2 linked regions of the Anolis sagrei genome follow. The protein of the gene in region 1 binds, or shares a complex with, the protein of each later gene. Links are inferred from orthologs where the notes say so. Each region holds a gene or a part of one and is shown on either strand. Other genes may lie near its edges. The genes, in order: RRS1 and RPF2.

The links.
Region 2: RRS1 (region 1) and RPF2 share a complex: the UniProt entries of both Homo sapiens proteins name them as parts of the hexameric 5S RNP precursor complex. The link is inferred for Anolis sagrei from reciprocal best matches to the Homo sapiens genes RRS1 and RPF2.

Annotation. Positions count from the first base shown.
Region 1 is NC_090024.1:45,534,626-45,543,155, forward strand, and holds RRS1 (ribosome biogenesis regulatory protein homolog), read right to left. Parts: upstream 3,743-8,530; 5' UTR 3,682-3,742; coding exon 2,599-3,681; 3' UTR 375-2,598; downstream 1-374. UniProt on the Homo sapiens protein: Involved in ribosomal large subunit assembly. May regulate the localization of the 5S RNP/5S ribonucleoprotein particle to the nucleolus.
Region 2 is NC_090021.1:93,051,708-93,060,187, forward strand, and holds the start of RPF2 (ribosome production factor 2 homolog), read right to left. Parts: upstream 3,677-8,480; 5' UTR 3,632-3,676; coding exon of another isoform or gene 3,598-3,631; coding exon 3,575-3,597; intron 968-3,574; coding exon 835-967; intron 1-834. UniProt on the Homo sapiens protein: Involved in ribosomal large subunit assembly. May regulate the localization of the 5S RNP/5S ribonucleoprotein particle to the nucleolus.

The sequences.
Region 1 (8,530 bases):
ATGGCCACAGGAAAAAGCACATAAATCTGAGAACATTATGTCATTGGGTGCTAGTGTACACTTACAGTGTTCTCCAAGAAAGTATCACTTGTCAAAGGTTTTCATGGTTGGAATCACTACGTTGCTGTGAGTTTTCTGGGCTGAATGGCCATGTTCCAAAAGCATTCCGGAATGTTTCTGGAACATGGTCACACAGCCTCGAAAACTCACAGCAACCCAAAAGATGACTTGTTGTACTATGTATGAAGTCTGGGATTACTTGATTTCTCCTGTATTTGCATTATCTGTATTACAATATCCATATTTTATGGGAGACGCACTTTAATTGCCAACGACAGAGGTCACTTCAAATCTTATAAAAGACAAAGCAAAAATAAATAAATAAAAGGATTTTATTTTGAAGAGTTTGGCACTTAATATCCCAATAATAAAAAATAGAGAATTATTGACATCTCCAGAAAAATGAAAAAGACCAGATCTTTACAATTCTTCCTCAAAGATTTACAGACTAATACTGCCTTCAAATAATAGGCACACGGTAATAATGACAAGCACACTGTGGTAATGAGTTTTCATTTTGGTAAACGAAAACACCCTCGGGCCCTTTTATCAAGACTTGAGTCTATTTCAGTCTGAGTCATTGCTATTACCCATCTTGGAGGGACAAGTTGCTTATCTCCCCTTTAATCAGGTTCACGCAAGTGTGGGCAAATTTGGGCCCTCTTGAGTGTTTTGGACTTCGATTTCCACCATTCCTCGCAGCCTCAGGGAGAAAAGGAGTCTGGGGTTGTTAGGAATGGTGGGAATCAAAGTCCAAAACACTCAAGAGGGCCCAAGCTTGCCCATGCCTGTCTTACAGGTTCAAGACCGCAAGAAGGCACATCACAACATCACGGGACACTGTCTTTATTATGTTCCGAAAACCGAAAGCCACTGTTTTCTTATTTTGGGAGCAAAAGTACATGTGCCAGCTTCCACTTCTTCCTCCTGGCCTTCCTTCCTCCTATATAGGAAGCAAACTTCCTCCTGAATTATGATAACTGGACCAAGGATCTGCTACTTTGGAGGCATCATTGTGACTCATTGGGAAATAAAAGTAGGACTTCAGGGGAAAGACAAAAGCTATAGGTGCATCTACACCAGGCCTGGGGAAACTGGGAATCCTGGGAGTTTGGTGACTCTATGGAAGGCATAGGCTAACTTGGGTCCTCTGTTTTGGTTTAAGTGGCTGAGCGGGAAAAGGAAGGAGCCTGAGGCTGTTAGGAATGGTGGGAGTCAAAGTCCAAAACACACGAAGGACCCAAGTTTGCCCAGGAATAGTGGAAGCTGAAGTTCAAAACACCTGGAAGTTTGCCCATGGCTGTGCTATAGGTTCAGGACTGCAAGAAGGCACATCACAACATCCCAGGACACTGGCATGGACAAACTTGAGTCCTCCAAATTTTGGCTGGAGGAAGGGGCCTAAGGTTGTTAGAAATGGTGGGAGTTGAAGTCCAAAACCCCTGGAGGGTCCACGTTTGCCCAGAAATGGTGGGAGCTGAAGTCCAAAACACCCGGAAGTTCGCCCATGCCTATTCTACAGGTTCAAGACTGCAAGAAGGTGCATCACAACATCCCAGGACATTGGCATGGGCAAACTTGGGTCCTCCGGGTGTTTTGGCTTAAGCAACTGAGAGGGGAAAGAAAGGGGCCTAAGGCTGTTAGGGATGGTGGGAGTCGAAGTCCAAAACACATGGAGGACCCAAGTTTGCTCAAGAATGGTGGGAGCTGAAGTCCAAAACACCTGGAAGTTTGCCCATGGCTGTGCTATAGGTTCAGGACTGCAAGAAGGCACATCACAACATCCCAGGACACTGGCATGGACAAACTTGACTCTTCCAAATTTTGGTTGGAGGAAGGGGCCTAAGGCTGTTAGGAATGGTGGGAGTTGAAGTTCAAAACCCCTGGAGGGTCCACGTTTGCCCAGGAATGGTGGGAGCTGAAGTCCAAAACACCTGGGACTTTGCCCATACCCATTCTACAGGTTCAAGACTGCAAGAAGGTGCATCATAACATCCCAAGACAGTGGCATGGGCAAACTTGGGTCCTCCAGGTGTTTGGGCTTAATGACTGAGAGGGAAAAGGAAGGGGCCTAAGGCTGTTAGGAATTGTGGGAGTCGAAGTCCAAAACACATGGAGGACCCAAGTTTGCTCAAAAATGGTGGCCGCTGAAATCTAAAACACCTGGAAGTTTCCCCATTCCTATCCAACAGGTTCAAGACTGCAAGAAGGTAAATCACAACATCCCAGGACACTGGCATGGGCAAACTTGGATCCTCCAGGTGTTTGGGCTTAAGCGACTAAGAGGGAAAAAGGAAGGGGCCTAAGGCTGTTAGGAATGGTGGGAGTCGAAGTCCAAAACACATGGAGGACCCAAGTTTGCTCAAGAATGGTAGGTGCTTAAGTCGAAAACACCTGAAAGTTTGCCCATGCCTATTCAACAGGTTCAAGACTGCAAGGAGGTGAATCACAACATCCCAGGACACTGTCTTTATTGTGGTCAGAAAACCCAAGGCCACTGTTTTCCTATTTTGAGAGCAAAAGTACATGTGCGGGCTTTCACTTCTTCCTCCTGGCCTTCCCACCGCCGCCTCCTCCTCCTCTTCCTGCGGCCTTCTTGCCCTTGGGGCCCCGAGGCCTCTGCTGCTGCTTGCTGGCCCTCTTCCCGCGCTGGCCCTTCTTCTTCCCCTTCCCTCCTCCTCGGGCCTTGGCCTCCTCGTCCTCCTCCCGGAGCTGCTTCCCGACAGCGCGGGCGATGTTAATGAGGGGCTTCTTGCTGCCCAGGCTTTTGGCCAGCTCCAGGTGGCGGGCCTTCTCTGCTTGGAGGTCCCCGAGCAGGGGCTGGAAGTGCCTCTTCCTCCCGGGGCTGCGCTGAGGCGCGTGGGGGTCCTCGCGGGGCAGGCGGGGCTGGAAGCGGCCCTTGGAGGCGGTGGCGGCGCGGGCGAGGGTGGCGGCGCGGGCGAGCTCGGCCTTGTCCTGCCTGCCCGTGGGGTGCATCTCCGCCTTGTGGGCGCGGGCCAGGTTGCGGAGGCGGTTGAGCTCGTTGCGGGCCACGCGCTCGCGCTTCTCGCTCCTGCTGCGCGCGTAGGGGTCCTCGGAAGGGTCAGCCGAGTCGGGCACCTCCATCATCCAGGGCTCCTTGCCCCCCGCGCGCTGGTAGCCCCACCGCCGGCGCCACTCCTTGGCCTGCTCGTCCCAGACCAGAGAGCCGCGCTTCTTCCTGTTGGGCCGGATCCCCTTGAGGCGGGCGAACTGCTCCCACCGCGTGAGGGGCTTGGCCTTGGGCAGGGGCTTCTCGCGGGGCAGGCGCGTGGCGGGCTCCGGCAGGCGCGCCACCACGGGGCCCGCGCCGCCTTCCGACCGCTCCGAGGGCAGCGCCCACAGGTGGGCCGCCAGCAGCTGCGCGTTGTCGCGCGCCAGGCACCGCAGGGCCGCCTCGCGCTCAGACTCCGCGGCTTTCCCCGACGCCACGGCGCGCGGGGCAGGGTTCCTGTCCAGCGCCAGCAGGTTGCCCGCGTCGAACTCCAGCTCCAGCTCCTTCTGCACCGTCACGCCCCGACGCCGATGCTCGTCCGCCTCGCGCTCCTCCGCGCGCGCCAGCAGATCCTCCACGGACACCGTCGCCGCGCCGGCAGCCGCCATCTTGGATCTCCCTCTCCGCACGCTAGGAGCTATCAGGCTCTACTTCCGGTGCGTCACCGGATGTACCTTCTCAAGCGAGATTCCCCCAATGCACAGCCCACTTTGTAAAAACTACAGTTCCCAGCATGCATCTCTCTGCTAGGGTAGGTTCTCACGGGAGGGGGATGTTGTGGAGCACTGAGATTATGTTTGCTGCACCAGCCCGTTATATATTTATTTATTTGCGGCATTTATATTTATTATCTACATACACACATTCAATATATTATATTATTAGCATAGCACAATATCAGTATTATACGTATATTACTATTTTGTACAATACCATTATATTGTAATATTATTAGTAATATTACATGTAATATTAAATATATATTATATTATTGTATTATTATTAGTTTTGTATTGCATCACATAATATTATAAATATTATACACATATACAATTTGTTTATTTATTTATTTGGGGTGCTTCTACCCCGCCCTTCTCAACCCCCTAGGGGGGACTCAGGGCGGCTTACACAAGGCACAATTTGATGCCTAACAATTACAACATACAATACAATATACAACACACAAATTTACCATATAAAATCACAGTTATAACTAATTAAAACAATTGACAGTATACTAGCAGCAATAAAAACATCTTGTGGTCAATGTTCACCAAATCCAAGTCCGTAAACCATTTAGCATCGTCATTGTCCTTTCCTACTCTGGTCATTATTGGTTGTCTTTGTCCATTTGCCAGCTTACCTGAAGGCCTGGTCCCACATCCAGGTTTTTAGCTTCCTTCTGAAGGAGAGGAGGGATGTTGATGTCCTAATTTCCCCGGGGAGTGCATTCCACAGGCGAGGGGCCACCACCGAGAAGGCCCTGTCCCTCGTCCCCACCAGTCTTGCTTGTGATAAAGGTGGGGCCGAGAGCAGGGCCTCCTCAGCAGATCTTAACTCCGAGGTGGGACGTAGAAGGAGATATGTTTGGACAGGTACGCTGGGCCGGAGCCGTAAAGGGTTTTGTAGGTCAAAAGCAGCACTTTGAATTGTGCTCGGAACTGGATCGGCAGCCAGTGGAGCTGACAGAGCAGGGGGGTGGTGTGCTCCCTGTATGACGCTCCGGTGAGTAATCTGGCCACCCCCCGTTGGACTAATTGAAGTTTCTGAACAGTCTTCAAAGGCAACCCCACGTAGAGTGCGTTGCAGTAATCTAATTGGGATGTGGACCACTGTGGCCAGATCCGGCTTCCCAAGGTACGGGCGCAACTGGCGCACAAGTTTTAATTGTGCAAAAGCTCTCCCGACCACCGCTGAGACCTGGGGTTCCAGGCTCAGCGATGAGTCCAGGATCACTCCCAAGCTGCGAACCTGCGTCTTCAGGGGGAATGTAACCCCGTCTAACACAGGCTGTAACCCTATGCCCTGTTCGGCCTTGAATGTCTTCAAAAAGAGGCTGGACAGCTACCTGCAAGAGATCCATGTGGTTGGACCTGATGGCCCATATGGTTCCTCCTAACTATTATTCCTTGATTGAATCAATTCACGGCTGGTGGATTTCTTCATTGTACTATAATATAATAATGATATGCTAATAATATATCCCTCCTCCCTCTGACTTCCTCTCACATATTTATACATGGCTATCATGTCTCCTCTCAGCCTTCTCTTCTTCAGGCTAAACATGCCCAGCTCTTTAAGCCGCCCCTCATAGGGCTTGTTCTCCAGACCCTTGATCATTTTAGTCGCCCTCCTCTGGACACATTCCAGCTTGTCAACATCTCCCTTCAATTGTAGTGCCCAGAACTGGACACAGTATTCCAAGTGTGCTCTGACCAAGGCACAACAGAGGGATAGCATGACTTCCCTGGATCTAGACACTATACTCCTATGGATGCAGGTCAAAATCCCGTTGGCTTTTTGTCCCACCGCAAACGTTTCGTCTTAAAGAGCTGTGCATGTTTAATATATTGTGGAAACGTCAGGAGAGAATGCTTCTGGAATATGGCCATACAGCCCGAAAAACTTACACCAATCCACTGGGCATATTTAATCTACAGAAGGGAAGGCCGAGAGGAAACATGAGGGCCATGTATCAAGATGTGAGAGGAAGTCATAGGGAGGAGGAAGCAGGCGTGTTTTTTGCTGCTCTGGAGACTAGTGCCCCTTCCACACAGCTGAGTAAAAATCCCACACTATCCACTTTGAACTGGGATATATGGTAGTGTGGACTCAGATAACCCAGTTCAAAGCAGATCGGTAAAGGTAAAAGTTTTCCCTGACATTGTCTAGTCGTGCCAGGCTCTGGAGGTTGGTGCTAATTTCCATGTCTAAGCTGAAGAGCCAGTGTTGCCCATAAACACCTCCAAGGTCATGTGGCCAGCATGACTGCATGGAGTTCCATTACCTTCCCACTGGAGCAGTACCTATTTGCATGTTTTCGAACTGCTAGGTTGGCAGAAGCTGGGGCTAACAGCGGGAGCTCATCCCATTCCCTGGATTTGAACCAGCAACCTTTTGGTCAGCAAGTTCAGCAGCTCAGTGGTTTAATCCACTGCTCCACCAGGGGCGCCACAAAGCAGATATTGTAGGTTATTCTGTGTTGATATTCTGTGTTATATTGCTGTGTGGAAGGACCCTAGGACACGGAACAATGGCTCCAAACTACAGGAAAGGAGATTCCACCTGAACATGAGGAAGAACTTCCTAACTGTGAGAGCTGTTCAGAAGTGGAACTTTCTGCTCCAGAGTGTGGTAGAATCTCTTTCTTTGGGAGCTTTTAAGCAGAGGCTGGATGGTTATCTGTCAGGAGTTATTTGAATGCGATTTTCCTGCTTCTTGGCAGGGGTTGGACTGGATGGCCCATGAGGTCTCTTCCAACTATGATTCTATTTTATCTAGTCCATGAGGTGTTTGGGATTTTGACTCCCAGAAGTCACAGCTGCCTTTGGCCAATGTCAGAGTTTCTGGGAGTGGAAGTCCCAATAGTCTGGATAGAGCAGAGTTTGGGAAACCCTGGAACCTCAATCAGAGGCTGATGCCGGATGAGAAACTCCCTCCTGGGCACACAGAAGACTGGGCAGTTTGGCAGGTGCTGAACAGGCTGTGGTCTGGCACCACGAGATGCAGAGCTAACCTTTAGAAATGGGGCTTCAAAGCTGAGTCCACAACATATGACATGCAAACCACAGACCACCTACTACAATGCAGTCTGAGCCCTGCCATATGCACAACATAGGACCTTCTTACAGTGACACCAGAGGCACTCAAAGTGTCCAGCTTCTGGTCAAAGGAAATTTAGCATAATGCCAAGTTTTAAACTTTGTTAGCAGTTTTTTAAAATAAATTATAAGTATAACACTGATTAACATTAATACAGATGGATCACTGTGGCTGAGTGCTTAGGGAAACCTGGGAGTTGTACTTTTACAAGCTCTTCTGCCTTCTTTGATGTATGCTGTGGATTACAGTTTGATAACTGCCGTGACTCAGTTCTGAAGAATCCTGACCAAGAGTGTTATGCCTTACCAAACTACAACTCCCAGTATTCCCATAGCATCGAGCCCTGGCACTTTAAAATTATGTCAACCTTCATTAATTCTGCAGTATAAAAGCAACACTTGTGGTTCAATTTTTTTTAAAAAGTTTCTTTGTGATGACAGTTTACATTTTTGAAAAAGTTTCCTTTGTGTTTATAGTTTGTTTTATTTTTTGGTTTTGAAAGAAAAATAAGTTATGTGACTTTATCATCTGGATTGACATGTGAATGCCTATGGTACTTGGAATTTTGACTATTATAATTCCAGGTTCTAAAAAACCTTTGACCACTCAAATGAAATGTTTTGGGCAACACTCAGAATTGATAAGAAACACTCTTTATTTTTCTAGATGAAGTACTGTAGTGTTCTAGATGAAGTACTGTACCCAGAAACCATCACATTTGCAGTGTATTTGGAGGATGCTATCACAGCATTTATATACATTGAAGCTGTATATACTACATATATAACATTTAGTAAATACAATATTTTAAAGAACCTGGTTTCCCCTAAAAGTCAAAGCTGAAGTGTGACTGCATGGACTGCGTTTTTTCTGTCAATCCAACTCTTTTGTAAATGTGATTTCAAACAGATTTTATTTTGATAATACAAGAAATAATAATGTATTGTAGATCAAATACCATAGTTGCAACTTTGCATTTTAAAATCAGTTCTTAATAAAAGTTTCTCATATTTAAAGTTTGTTTTTGCAACAGTATTCTTTAATGACCACAAGATGGTACTGTGCTTGGAGAATTCATTTTTTCCCTTGCTTGATGTGTCATGTTTTCAACTAGAATTCAACTAAGTATTAAGAAGAATTAAGGTGCATCTACACCAGAATTATTGCAGTTTGACACCACTTTAACTGCCATGGCTCAATATTGGGGATCACGAGAATTATAGTTTTACAAGGCCTTTAGTCTTTTCTGCCACATTGTGCTGGTACTTCACAAAACTACAGCTCTCAGATTTCCATTGCATTGAACAGTTATGTAGTGTCAAACTGCATTCATTCTACAATGTAGATGCAGCCCTAGTTAGCAGATTGCCTTCTGCAGTGCTGGTAGTTATACAGTATATTCCCTGCAATGTGGTTGGACATCAGAGATTGCATCCTCATTCAGCCATGGAAACCCACTGGGTGACCTTGGGCAAGTCACACTCTCTCAGCATCAGAGAAGGGCAAAGGCAGCTTATCTTGTCAAGAAAATCCTCAGGTTAATTTTACAGAGAAACACACATGTAGCTGAGTAAAATGAATGTTTTCATTTTATATTTTATATAGACTGCAAACTTGTTAAAAGGTTCTGTCAAA
Region 2 (8,480 bases), on another chromosome or scaffold:
AATGTTTAATTGTACATGTTGCCAATTTGTAAGCCGCCTTGAATAGCCTTCTGACTTGAGAAAGGTGGGATAGAAATATTGTAAATATATAAATAAATCTATTCTCTTTAAATACATGGTAATAGATTTGCATGCCAGCAAAAAGTGCTAGTCCTGTTTTGCTCCCTCAAAACAGACAGCAATTGAAATTTCTGCTGCAAATAGGCAAGGTATAAAACATCCAATGCCTCAGAAGTGCATCTTGAATTTTCCTAGTTAAACCAGTTAACATTCACCACAGGGGCCAATGACTATAAACTTTACAACTTCTCCCAGATTTGCTGAATTATTCCCATCAATCAGAATTCCTCCTCTTTGATCCAGAACAATTCCCACCAATATAGAATGCATGTTCGCTCAATATTTTAAAAGGGCCCAATTATATAAGTGTATAAGTTTAAAAGACCCCAGATATATAAGTATATTAAATAGGTATAAAAATCAAACATATATTGAAAAGAGACCACCATTTGCAAGGCTTGCTAAACAGGCTGATTTTTCTTTTTTTTGTGGAATACAGCCAAAGCATTTTCTGCAGAGTCCATTGTAAAACAGTGCATGTAGTTGCTAACAGATTTGTGTAAATGACTGGAGAAACCTTTCACTGTTTCAAAATTTTTCGTGACCCCAGCAATTAGCTAAGGGGACGCTATTTAAGGTTGGGACCCACAGTCCCAACCTTAAGAAACAGTGCTCTAGGGGGCTAAAGTTTGAGAATCAGTACTTTAAATCACCTTTCTATGTAACACAACAGAACATAGCCCCAGCTCCACAAATATTCCCAAACATACTTACAATGTCTTTTAGTACTTCGGTGATGGTTGTATTTGCATTTCCACCTTTTATGAGCATAGCATTCTTGGTATTTTCTGTCAGCTTTGGCTCCCTTTTTTCAAGAAACCTTTTTGCCCTCTTGGTTTTGGGTTTTCTGCCATGAGAATATTATTGTCACAATGTTAACTTTCACCAAGTATTTGAATGTACTTACAGTCAGTCCTTGAGTTACAAACATTGAGAACAGAGGTGAGACAACAGGAAGTGGAAGAAATCTACCCCTCGGAAGGAAATCCACTCCTGGAAGAGTTGTCATGGGGAAAAGGTGTCTCCACTGAAGCTTTCTCACCAATCCTTGTTTCCAAAACAAACCACATTTTTCAAAATCCAATTATCACAGGGACAAAAAGTGAGATGAAAACTTTCCAACAGTAGCAAGACAGCAAAGCAAACACCACAGGGGTATTAACCCTTCCCTATCCTTTCCAAAACTTAAAAAAATGGCTGGAATTACACTTTTTAAAAATTGCTTGTTCTGATTTAGACACAGATTCAACTTAAGAACAAACCTACAGAACCTGTCTTGTTTGTAACCTGGGGACTGCCTGTTTTCATTTACTTCTGTATTGACTGCTCCCACGGGAAGGTAACAGTGCTCCATGCAGTCATGCTGACCACATGACCTTGGAGGTGTCTACAGACAATGCCGGCTCTTCGGCTTAGAAATGGAGATGAGCATCAACCCCCAGAGTCGGACACGACTGCCCTTAATGTCAAGGGAAAACCTTTATCTTTACCTATTGACCAGTTTTTCTCCTAATCGACACCAAAGGCAGTTTGCAACCTGACTGACATTTTGGCTAATGTTCCTTGTAGATGTGTTTGTCCCTTCCAGTTACCTTCATCATGGTTATTTTCACAAAAATATAACTATTTTTCATATAACTATTCCAAAAACGCTGGTTTTGGGGTGGCTCACAAAACAAATTCATCCCTCGGTCAACAGCTGGCATACTAAAGGCGATAGATTTTGGAAGTTAAGCAGGGCTCAGCCTTGGATGGGAGACCACCGAAGACTGCTGTAGGGCTGTGTTTCAGAGGAAGGGATATTCTTCTGAATATTCTGCCTAAGAAAACCCCATGAAATGAATGGGGCTTCCACAAGTGGATAAGCAACTTGAAAGCAAGCACATATCTGGATGTATGTATATGTTGTGGTTGTTCATTTGTTCAGTCACTTCCAACTCTTCGTGACCTCATGGACCTCATGGTTAAACAGAGGCTGGATGGCCATCTGTCAGGGGTGATTTGAATACAATATTCCTGCTTCTTGGCAGGGGGTTGGACTGGATGGCCCATGAGGTCTCTTCCAACTCTTTGATTCTATGACCAGCCCACGCCAGAGCTCCCTGTCAGCTGTCACCACCCCCAGCTCCTTCAAGGTCAAGCTAGTCACTTCAAGGACCCCATTCATCCATCTTGCCCTTGGTTGGCCCCTCTTCCTTTTTCCTTCCATTTTCCCCAGTATCAATGTCTTCTCTAAGCTTTCCTGACTTCTCATGATGTGGCCAAAGTACTTCATCTTTGTCTCTAATATCCTTCCCTCCAATGAGCAGTAGGGGTTTATTTCCTGAAGTATGGACTGGTTGGATCTTCTTGCGGTCCAAGGCACTCTCAGAACTTTCCTCCAGCACCACAGTTCAAAAGCATCTGTCTTCCTTCGCTCAGCCTTCCCTAAGGTCCAGCTCTCACATCCATAGGTGACTACGGTGAATATCATTGCTTTACCTATGCGGATCTTTGTTGCCAGTGTGATGTCTCTACTCTTTACTATTTTATCGAGATTAGTCATTGCTCTCCTCCCAAGAAATAAGTGTCTTCTGATTTCCTGGCTGCAGTCTGCGTCTGCAGTAATCTTTCCAACTAGAAATACAATGTCTGTCACTGCCTCCACGTTTTCTCCTTCCATTTGCCAGTTATCAATCAATCTGGTTGCCACAATCTTGTTTTTTTTTATGTTTAACTGCAACCCAGCTTTTGCGCTTTCTTCTTTCACCTTGATTAGAAGGCTCCTCAGCTCCTCCTCGCTTTCGGCTATCAAAGTGGTATCATCTGCATATCTAAGGTTGTTAATGTTTCTTCCAGCAATTTTCACCCCAGCCTTGTATTTATCAACCCCTGCATATTGTATGATGTATTCTGCATACAAGTTGAATAGGTTGTGTGAGAGTATACAACTCTGCCGTACGCCTTTCCCAATCTTGAACCAGTCTGTTGTTCCAGGGTCAGTTCTTACTCTTGCTACTTGCTCCTTATACAGATTCCTCAGGAGAAAGACAAGGTGATTTGGGATGCCCATACCACCAAGAACTTGCCACAATTTATTATGACATACATATATCTCTGGAAGCAGACTCGAGTCCTATTTTAAAGACAGCATATAAATACATGAAATAACTAAATTTAAAGTAAACAAACAACCCAAAGTTCAATGTGACACAAGCACAGGCCTGGTCAAACTTGGGCCCTCTCTCCAGGTGTTTTGGACTCCAACTCCCATCATTCCTAACAGCCTCAGGCCCCTTCCTTTTCCCCCTCAGCCGCTTAAGCGGCTTAAGCCGCTTTTCCCCCTCAGCTTAAGCGGCTGAGGGGGAAAAGGAAGGGGCCTGAGGCTGTTAGGAATGATGGGAGTTGGAGTCCAAAACACCTGGAGAGAGGGCCCAAGTTTGACCAGGCCTACACAAGCAACGGTGAGACTCACTCTACTCGATCCAACGCCTCCATGCCTGAAACTTCTGCTGCCTCCACGTGGGACCATTAAACAAGTACTCCGGAAATGTAGCTTTTTGTGTCGTCACATCCGGAACGTGAACGTAGAGATAGGAAAATCTCAGCTCCTCGCAACTTGGATTCTAACCCCCTCCCCCCCTTTGCAACACATTTACACTCCTGCCTCTATATCGTAAACTGTATCCACATCCGAGAGTCCAATCTGGACTCCAAGAAAGGGTCTCTGTTAAGATAGCACCGCACTTCTGTTCAGCACAGTTCAGACTCTCCTTTTCCAAACAAGGCGGCATCCGAAAGGAAACCTGAACTATCGGTTGAAAATGGTCACTTTTTACCTCTAGAAAAAATGCGGGGCTATGGAGACGAACACGTCATAGAGTAGAGTTCGAAGTAGACTTATCAACACTTCCGGTATTGAATTGACATTCGAAGGATGCTTACAGTAAGCCTTCCATCAGGTATTAAGAGCATAATTACCTGGAAGCAAGTCCTGTTAAACTCCGTGGGACTTATCTCTTAAGTAGACATCTATGAAATTGGCTGGTAAACAATGTGACAGAAAACAAGAGAAAAGCACACAGCCCTATATCACAGAATATCAAGGCACAACATTGCACAATATCTGCTTTGAACTGGAATGTATGGCACTGTGGACTCTAATAATAATAATAATAATAATAATAATAATAATAATAATAATGGGGTTGTTGTAGGTTTTTCAGGCTATATGGCCATGGTCAAGCCATTATATGCTAATCAAGGTGTCAGTTAAAACAGTCACACCTAGCTCCAGCAGACAAGAGTCCTTTGTCCCACCCTGGTTATTCCACAGATATATAAACTCCCTTTTCCTAGTTCCAACAGACCTCACTACCTCTGAGGATGCTTGCCATAGATGCAGGCGAAACGTCAGGAGAGAATGTCTCTAGACCATGGCCATATAGCCCAAAAAGACCTACAACAACCCAATAATAATAATACTTTATTTATTCCCCGCTACCATCTCCCCAAGGGTCTCGGTGCGGCTTACATGAGGCCGAGCCCACAATACATCAATAATAAAAATAATAACAAGAAGTAATACAAAACAATAAAAATAATAACATTAGATAACATAGGGACATTCCACACAGCCATATATCCCAGAATATCAAAGTAGAAAATCCCACAATATCTGCTTTGAACTGGAATGTGTGGCAGTGTGGACTTAGATAACATAGGGCCCTTCCACACAGCCCTATATCCCAGAATATCAAAGCAGAAAATCCCACAATATCTCCTTTGAACTGGGTTATCTGAGTCCACACTCAGATCTTGTGGGATTTCCTGCCTTGATATTCTGCAGTGTAGGGCTGTGTGGAAGGACCCCAAATGAGGCCCCTTCTACAGTGCCATATACATTCAGATCATGTGCTTTGAACTGGATTATATGGGAATGTAGACTCAGGCTGGACCTTATATGCCAGAATCTGATCCCAGGGCCCTTTCACTCGACCATATAACCCGGAATATCAGGAAATCCCACAATATCTGTTTTGAACTGGGTTATCTAAGTCCACACTGCCATATTGATGCAGAGCACGATTTTAGGGGGCCCTGCCAAGGCAGAGGCTGGCAGGGCCGTAGCCAGAAAAAAAATTCGGGGGGGGGGGGGGAGGGGTTGAAACCTGCCTCCTAGCTCACACTGAAGCAAAGAGCACAGCAGAGGGCAGAGCAGCCTTCAATAGCCTACAGCCCCTGTCAACCACCTCCACCAAGTCTGGCCTCCTTAATGAGAGCATTCAACACCACCCCTCCCAAACTTGGTTGAAGACCCAGGAAATTTCCAGGTATATAAGTATCGTAAATAATAATAACAACAACAACAACAACAACAACAACAACAATTCTGCAATACCTGAGTCCTGAGATACTGGTCATAGTTCATGAAGAGGTCACCTTGCTTGATATTTTATACAGACATACATATAATAATTGGGGATGTAGGGCATATATAGAGTTCATAAAGGAAAAGGGGAGCATGCAGGATTGGGAAAAATTGGCTTTTTGTGACAGGGTTTCCAGTAAATATAGCAGTTACCTTTTGTTTTAAATATGTGAAATATAGGGCATAAATCTTGATTAAATGTACACACCATCTAACATGTTGTGGTTATTAGTCCTTTTGCAAATTTGCCAAAACTTAACTTTTATCATTCCAGCCTGATGTCCTTGGCAAAACTATGAATTCCCAAATTATAAACTATCTTTTATTGGGGGTGGGGGGCATATTCGACAACAATATAACCCAGTTCAGAGCAGGTACTGTGGGATTTTGTTCAACTGTGTGGAAGGGGCCTCAGAGCCTTTCCACACAGCCATATAACTCAGAATATCAAGGCAGAAAATTGCAAAATATCATCTTTGAACCGGAATGTGTGGCAGTGTGAACTTACATAACTCAGAGGCCTTAGATCATTTTCTTGTCCCAGACTATCTGGCAGCGACTCATATAATCCAGTTCAAATCAGATAACCTGGGACCAGATCCTGCAATATAGGGCAGTGTAGATCCAGCCCCACATAGTTCAGATCAAATAATCTTGATTATATGGCAGAGTAAATCCAGCCTCAGAGGGGCAGGGAGTTTGGGTGCTCTTAAATTAGGGGTGGTATCCATTCACAAGTGTTTTAGGGCACTTGGGACCCCCCAAAATAACAAAAACAGGTAGCAGGTAGTGTCACTGGCTTAAAGGCTAGAGAGTGCTCCATGTCTAAAAATGGTGTGTCACCAATGTGAATTTTTTAGAAAGTTCTGATGTAATGCCTGCTGAAATTACCTCCTCTTTACAATTCTTGGAGGTGTAGGGGCCATCTCAGTTTTCAGTGTGGCACCTTCAAGATCTTTCATACGGCATAACCTTTGATGTACCATGGCCCAATTAATTAGAGGCATGGATGGTAGTTTCAGTGGGCTTATTATGATATACTTGTGTGGTTGGGTACGGCATTTAGCCAAAACAGAAAAGGAAGAAGGACAAACAAACAGGTTTATCAAACTAACTGAGAGGTAATGTAAATCACTTTATTCATTTTTGTTCAGCTGCTTCATATTGGAGCCTGTCTTTGAAGAATTTGTTCAAGGACAGAGGGAAAAGGGAGAGAGATACTAGAAACAAAATATAGGATAAAAAACAAAATTGGTGGAGTGACTGTATTTATTAATTAACTCATCCAGCATGTTTTAGAAAATTCTGAAACTATTTTGTCTTGGGCATACTATAAAGACAAAACAGCAGTTAAAAATAGGTAAGTATGGGAACATTGTTAAGAATCATGGTAGTTCCAGTCTATAACTTCTCAAGTTGCACTCCTGCACTAAAGTAACTTCAGCCTTGTTGGACTAGTCAATGTTAGAAGCCTGTTGGTAACGTCAAAGAATGTACATAACTGTGGGATAAGTCAAAACCCTTCAGTCCTATGAGATGTTGTTTTTAATATATATACTTTTTGTGTTAGCTATTTTGCTAACCTGAAGGGTAGAAAAACAAGGACCAAATGCATGTAAATTAACGGACAGCTGGGAAGCCAGCAGAGTCCTGACTGCTTGAACTCAACAGCTTAGATCTTAAGAACAATTGTGGTATATCCTTTCCTGTTGTGTTGAAAAGGGGCAAAACACAGAAGAAAAGGGCAATGTTTCCTATTGCATAACCCTGCACCTTAGTTTCATCTCATTTCAGGATAGTCTAAATGACAACTGGACAGAGTAAAAGTCCAAAGGCCAATTTTCAGCCCCCATGGTCTGTTGTGGTTCACATAACTTCCAAACAGTGTGTATGTGAGAAAAAGATGGAAGTCATCCACTCTGAATTCCAATCTTTGGGCACCTATCGCTCGCCTTTTCCTCTTATCCTTAGGATCTCCCCATAGATGTGGTGGCTGGCCTTCAGGATGACCACTATATTGGGGTTCAATGTAGTAATGCTTGACTGAATCCTCCTTATCAATATTAAGTGAAAACATATAGAGTAGAAAATATAAAGTTCTATAACAGATAATTATGCTGATCCCACACAGTGTATTAATATATCACTTAAAAATGTGTCTCTGGACTTCATCCACGTTTTAAGCTCCCAAGAGCTGTATTCAGAATGTTTGATTTCCCTTTTCCCAACAGACACCACATAACTCTTTAATAAACACGCCTCTGAGTTCTATATTTTCTCCTATCCCAGCATTTTCATAAAGTGTGATTGTCTAGCTCTACCTGTCTTCTTGCTTTGCACATTTTCCTGTTTTATGTTGAAAGATACTGTGCTGATCTGGAAGTGCTTTTCCTCTATGTATTATTGTCTCCAAAGTGATCAGAGGCTTTAAAGAGCAGATTTCATTCTGGAAATGGGTAGGGGGGATTCAAAGGGGAGGTGTCAACGGATATACTCTCAGGATCTGATAAACTTTTATGGACTCAAATCCAACCAGTATCTCAGTAACTGCCTCCTTGCCTTTAATTTCCCAGATTCCCTTCAATACATATCTTCTGAGGGGCAGAGCATAAACAGCCCTTGCTGAACCAGTTGCTTCTTTTCTAGCTTTCTTTACATAAATAAACTCTAACACATATGGATGGAAGACTTTCTACAAGTGTTACTAAGTGGGGATTTCTCTGTTGACTCCACGTTTTGATTGGAGCAGCTCATGGGTTTTTTTTCCTCATTTGTTGTATTATTCATCCAATAAGAGGGCTGACTTTCAATAGATCGCAGCGAGGGAGCTGCTCTGCTACGTACGAAACCCCGACCCAGAATCAGGTCGTCTACGAAAGTTTAGGAGATTTTTTATGCATGCCATAGAAATCTCCTAAACTTGCTGAAAGTTCTACCCCCTTTTATGGTT